Linked DNA regions of Schizosaccharomyces pombe. The gene in region 2 interacts genetically with the main gene of each other region. Each region holds a gene or a part of one and is shown on either strand. Other genes may lie near its edges.

Region 1 (3,760 bases), on a different chromosome or scaffold from region 2:
ACCAGATAAACAGGAGAATTATGACATGTAATGCATGAAAACACTTTATACTTATTTTCCTTTAGAAAAGATTCCTCATCACAGGGCCGAAACCGAGCTCCTAACTCAAGTAAAGCCTCACATAGCTTTCTCAATACTTCAATTGGATTTTTGGCAGTTTGAATCCCATAATGCCAGCGTAAAGAACGAAGTCGGTTGGGGGCGGGAGGTCGGGATAATGGATGGTTGTAGACCTTATTCATGAATGAAGCATGTCTCTGTGGAAGAGAAGAGCGTAAAGTTTCAACGTTAGAAGGAATTGGTGGAATATCAGTAGGATCTAAAAATCCGGATGATTCTGCCATGTCAGAATGCCACGAAGTAGCCGAATACAAGTCCTCATACGACGAATAACATAAAGATGCGGGATCTGGATTAGGAGATTCAGTACCTGAAATGGACATTGGTTTTGACGGGGATAGGGCTGAGTGATCTGTGGGCTGAGGAATTTGACCTACACTACTGGAAGGCGAAGTTATGGAAGGGTCGAAAAGAATAGCAAGATCTGGAGGAGAAAAGGTGACAGATCGATGCTTGGAAGAAAAGGATGAAGTACGGGAAGGTAAACGGGAATGCGTGGGAAGATCAGCGATAAACCAAGGATGTTGCATTATTTCTGCAACTTTGATTCGTGAAGTAGGAAGCACCATTAACATTTGACGAATGAGATCTGAGGCTGAAGAAGATACAAAACTAGGAATGGTGTAGATTCCTTTACAAACGCGACTTAATACATTGGAGATGGTTACATCCTCAAAGGGAAACTCGCCGACGAGCATCAAATACAATAAGATTCCGCAACCCCATACATCTACATCACAACCATCATAATAACGGCCTTGAATAACCTCAGGAGCAGCATAATGGGGAGTACCGCAAGAGGTACTCAGAAAGGAACCATCAAGCATAAAATTGGAAAGGCCAAAATCCGTGAGCTTGACAACCAGATCTTTATTAAGTAAAATGTTTTCCAACTTCAAATCTCGGTGAGCAACACGATGAAGATGACAATAATCGATGGCATGGACAATTTGTCGAAAAATCTTGCGAGTGGTACATTCATCCAGTCGATTATGCTTAACCACCATACTGTGCAAATCAGTATCCATATACTCTAGTGCGAGCACTGTGTACTTGGGAACCCGAAACACCTGGTATAGGGTGATAATGTTTGGATGGTGCAATTGCCTTAAGATTGTCACTTCTCTTTGTAAACGCTTCCACGTATCTTTATCTTCCAATTCATCATTGTAAACCATTTTCAATGCGACCTTTTCATTTGTTTGAAAATGCTTGCCCACTACACTGTTAGCCATCGTACAATTGCCAAAAACAAAATCAAAGACGATCGATGCGCAAGATAACCATGACACCTAAGTAGTCTATCTCTACTGTCTATAAGTAGTCTACTCTATCTTATTAACAAGCCCCTACAAGACAAAGTCAACTAAATTTCACCTCATGTACTTACATTTCACTTTGGCCAAGTTTCCTTGTCCCAAAGTCCTTCCCAAAAGCCAAGGCCCAACATAGGTGTTTCCTGAATCCTTTTCAGACTCTGCCGATGCAGAAGAAGGGGTTTGCATAGCAAGTCGAGCCAGCTGACTTTATAGGATGAAATTCGTTATTCGTGTATATAGGTGGTTAGCATGTGCATGTTGCTGCATACCGTCCGACTTAAACATGATCCGCGCATCTGATGCTAATTTGTTAGCGATAAAAAAGGTGCACGAGGCAAAGTAGTGTGATTCAAAGCAACCTTGTAATAAGATTATATGGCGTAACGTGCTATCTTTTGGTAAACATCTCCACGGCGACATTGCAGACAACGCTAGCGTTCGATACGAGCAACCAATCTGCACTTTATTTAATTAAGGTACGCGGTCTATGGGTTATCAGATGCATAGGTATGTAAATTTTGTGTTATGAAATGGAAAATCGAGCTGGTATTGTGTTATGGGAAATTATGCCAATTTTCAAAGTTTATGAGTACATGGGAACTCTCTATTTACCCTCTTCCATCATTAGATCCGTCCCAACTTCTAGCCAAAATTTTTTGCACAATAAGCTACAACAATACAGCCGTGATAATGATAAAATTAGTAAAAGCAGTAATAGAAATACTCAAAGACAATTAAATAAAAAATTACAACAGCTAGATTTTTTGACTACAGAAAACATTTGATTTTCGGTTTAATCCCAAAAACCCGCATTATTTCGCACGATGCCATCAATGCTAGTAGACAAACATAAAACCGCATATTACAGACCGTGCGAATGTTTTTGTATAGCTATTTTTTAATGTAAAGTATATTTTGCCATATCTGAAATAGCCCGATCGAGGCATCCCAAGTACACACTACGGAAAGTGATAAGTGCAAAATTTTCTTTGTATCCGTTTACATACTGGCATACCTATTGCCGCTACCAGCCCTTTGTTTACTACTTAAGTATACATTACATTAGGTGGCCGCCAAAAAACCGAACGTTCCGCATCGGTAAAATACCTTGGAGTCATTCGCCCGAAAATCCCGAAACCGAAAATCCATCTCTTACCACATACGTTTAGGCAATTATTTTATTCCTCTCCAGTCATCAATTGAAAAAAATAGGCTTTCTAAGTTTTGCAATTATCACAGTAGAAGTCCATGAGTCAACATGGAAACTGTGGAGATACGAAGTAAGAGTCTGTTGATACAATGGCTCACGGTGGAATCGAATTCCTTACTGAGTTGGCAACTGCATGTGAAACGGAAAAGCATAAAGTTTGATATATATCATAAAAAGAATGACACATCTAGCTTGCTAGATGGATCCAACAAAAACACCGATCGTTCCATCCTGCATACAAAGCGTCAACACACTCACGAAGCTGGTATCAAGAAGTTGAGTGCTGCTGGGTTAGAATTATTTTATCAAGGAGAGCGATGTATGTCGGAAAAGCCTAGTGAGGGCTCTGTCTACATTGAGAATGGAGGACTTTATGCCTTCGTGTTTGATAACACTTTTTCGAAAACAAAACCAAAAACTGTGACCTTCCTCTTGACCGCGCAACCATACAACGGTCCGAGAATACCAAATGCATCAGTCCATGGCTCTCCTAAACAAATTATTTCTGGAACCTTGCTTAAAAAGCGCCGAAAGAAGGGCCAAGGCTATGCTCGACGTTACTTCACTCTCAACATGGTGGAAGGCACGATCTCATACTATGCTAACGAAAATTCTTCGGTAATGCGCGGTAAAATTCCCTTGAGCATTGCTGTGATTAGCGTTGCTGCAGAGACGCATGAGATCAACGTTGATTCAGGCGTAGAACTGTGGAACCTACGAGCACATACTCACCAAGATTGGCTACGTTGGTGCAATGCTTTGGAAAAGGCGAAAAATAGTCAAACTTCTTCAAAGCTCGTAGTAGACGAAAGGACACAAGAATCGTCATCCAATCAGTTAGTCTCTATTTACTCAAGACTACGTGAATGCCTGGATATTGCTCAATTGTATCGCACCAGTCGTATCAAATCGGCTTCAAGTCATAATTTTTCTGTCCCTGAGATCCGTATACAACTTCCCGGTGATGCCAAAGAAAACAAGGAAACCCGTACTTCAGTGGAAATTACTGCTGCTGAAAACGCGCAAGCTGCGGTTACTTTACGCAAGGTTACTCGTCAACTCGGGTCTTTGTTGCATGAACTGGAATGCTTTATTCAACACCATGAATATA
Region 2 (2,813 bases):
ATGGCGTCAAGTTCTTCACGATTGTCTTCGATAACATCACGGATGTGTCGCAACCAATGATCCAACAAATTGTTTAAATTAGGACCAAGAGCAGCAGCGACACCACCGCATCCATAATGGCCACAGACAATGATGTGCTTAACCTTTAATACGGTCACGGAGTACTCCATAACAGCTAAAGCATTAATGTCAGAACGAGGAACGACATTGGCAATGTTTCGATGAACGAAGACTTCACCTGGAAGTAAATTCAGAATGGTGGTCTCAGGAACACGAGAATCTGAACATCCGATCCAAAGAACTTGAGGAGTTTGAATATCTTTGGTGGCTGTAAAAAAGGATGGGTACTTTCTGCTAGTTTGTTGTGACCAAGTCAGATTGCGTTCAAGCAAATCTTTGATTTCCCCATTCTGGTCAATTTTACCAGCGCCAGAAACGGGAGAAGCGGTTGAAGCTTCTCTGTCGATTATCTCGTCTTGATGATCGATTTCCTCAATACGACGTTTCAATCTATCAGGCATTTTCTTTTTTTTATCACTTTTCTCTAACAATTGACTAGACGAAAAAAACAATCTTTTTCTTCCAAGCGATGAAAAAGATATGGATTGTAAACAACTATTATAATTACAAGGAAAACGAATGAATCTCGATGTTAACCGCGGAGCCGCTATTATCGAGTAGCTGCTACTTTTTATTTGGTTAAAGGTAGACTGGAGTATGGTTTTTGGAAGCGGAATTTTTGTAGTTGTCAAAGCACCGAATGGTGGGAGCATGATACGTTTTTATACCACACGACAAAAATGGAAACGTTTGTGATGTGAGCAAAGCTATGATGATGAACTTTGATGTATAGCTAATACTCCGATAACAAGCCGTCCCGTCCGTCGAGTAGGTAAGGTTTATTGGTTTATCTATTATATAATGTAATTTATTTTGCTAGATCTTTGCAAGGGACTACCTACGGATAGTTTTGACGGCTTCGCAGTTAACAAAAAACCGGATACGATTGGCTTAAAATTGCAAATTGTCCCAAATATGAATAAAATGTTGACAGCCATAAAGATTTCGCAACCGTGCGAAATTTTTTTTTTCTAAACACAAAATTATTGGAGAAGAATCCGTCATTTATCAATTACGAGTATATCGTCTTATCGTTATACGTGTTTTCGATTAAGTTAATCTAAAATTAAATTAAGCGATAATTAGGTTTTGTAGATTGAAACATTTGTTAACATGGGCACCGCTGACATTACTATAAAAAAAGACGAAAAAAAAACAATTGCCCATTGTTACCCATAATAGGAGGAATGAAATGAAAGTAAAGACAATTGAGAAAATTTATTCAATAGCTTATACAGCTATTTCAAGTCTCGGCCAGTAAGTTAAGCACTTGAAGTTATATTTAAACCGTCAGTTTACCAAACATTAATATGTTTGTTTCAATTCCCATTGATAAACTCAAATACGTGTATGACATTAATTATGCCTCTTTGTGCATACGGTTTTCTTACTATTATAAAAATAATTAGCACGCCCTTAACTAACAACTATTTAGGTTGATTTGAACTTGTAGAAAAAGCTTGTAAATATCGTGCTCGTCAACTAAACGAATATAACAAACCTTAGAAATCATCGCAGCATTCCACTCAAACACATACCCTAACCTAACTCGAAAACCAGTCACAAAAGTTTCGAGTCCCTTAGTGTTGTGAATGCTTAATACTTTCTGCCATCAACACGCACTGCACTCCTCGTCAAAATGAAGTACCTTGCAGCTTATTTACTCTTGACCGTTGGTGGAAAGGACTCCCCTTCCGCTTCTGATATCGAGTCTGTTTTGTCTACTGTCGGTATTGAAGCTGAATCTGAGCGCATTGAAACTTTGATCAACGAGCTTAACGGTAAGGATATCGACGAGCTCATCGCTGCTGGTAACGAGAAGCTTGCTACTGTCCCCACTGGTGGTGCTGCTTCTGCTGCTCCTGCCGCCGCTGCTGGCGGTGCTGCCCCTGCTGCTGAGGAGGCTGCTAAGGAGGAAGCCAAGGAAGAGGAGGAATCTGATGAAGACGTAAGTTAATTTTAGATAAGAAGCATTCTTTGTTTCTCAAAAGCATCTTACTAACAATTTTAGATGGGTTTCGGTCTTTTCGACTAAACCAAATGATCCCTTGTTTTCATTACGCTTTCATAAAAATAAATCGCCGTGTTGGTTTTATTTTACCAATTTTTTTTTAGTGCTCCATTCGTAATAGTATTTTTCGTTTGATAAATGTAATTTTAGCTTACTTTAAATGTTAATGTACCACTGGTGCCCCGTGTTGTTGATTTGAATATAAGAGACTTTACACTTGTAAAGCAAGTCGTTGTTTCGAGAATAATAAATTTTATTTAGTATGTTACTAGGAAGTCTTTACAAGCGGCCCATAATTTTTCTTCAAATGCTTTCAAATTGTTTTGAACATGAAGCATGCAATAGTCTTTACAAACCTCAAATATTTCTTTAATGTCATTTTCCACATTTGAACAAAATGTGGTCGAAGGATGACTTATTCTAACTGCTTGCTGTAGCCTTTGAGCCCTATCTAAAAGCCACAAAACAAAATCATCAAGGGAAATAGAATAGCGGCCCAAAATACAGTGGTGTAACCCTCCAAATGATGGTATATTCTTCAATAAAAATAACGAGTTATTGGTAGGTACAGTCTGCTGAGGTTGAGAGCTGGACGGGAACTCCATCTCCAAAGGTTTGTCATTAGGAAACATTAAATGCTTTACTTCCATAGCCACTTGCTTTCCCAAAAGCAGTAATTGAT

What was found. Genes that interact genetically often act in the same process or in processes that back each other up.
Region 1: mutations in rpp201 (region 2) and ppk9 together harm fitness more than expected from each alone (negative genetic interaction), as found in Schizosaccharomyces pombe (one large-scale study listed by BioGRID).

Annotation. Positions count from the first base shown.
Region 1 is NC_003424.3:1,605,465-1,609,224, forward strand, and holds the start of ppk9 (serine/threonine protein kinase Ppk9), read right to left. Parts: upstream 1,686-3,760; 5' UTR 1,626-1,685; coding exon 1,511-1,625; intron 1,340-1,510; coding exon 1-1,339. Other genes in the region: sterol transfer protein Osh3, read left to right, coding at 2,698-3,760.
Region 2 is NC_003423.3:3,641,430-3,644,242, forward strand, and holds rpp201 (ribosomal protein P2), read left to right. Parts: upstream 1-1,731; 5' UTR 1,732-1,759; coding exon 1,760-2,068; intron 2,069-2,131; coding exon 2,132-2,155; 3' UTR 2,156-2,224; downstream 2,225-2,813. Other genes in the region: nce103 (putative carbonic anhydrase), read right to left, coding at 1-521; histone lysine methyltransferase Set6, read right to left, coding at 2,389-2,813.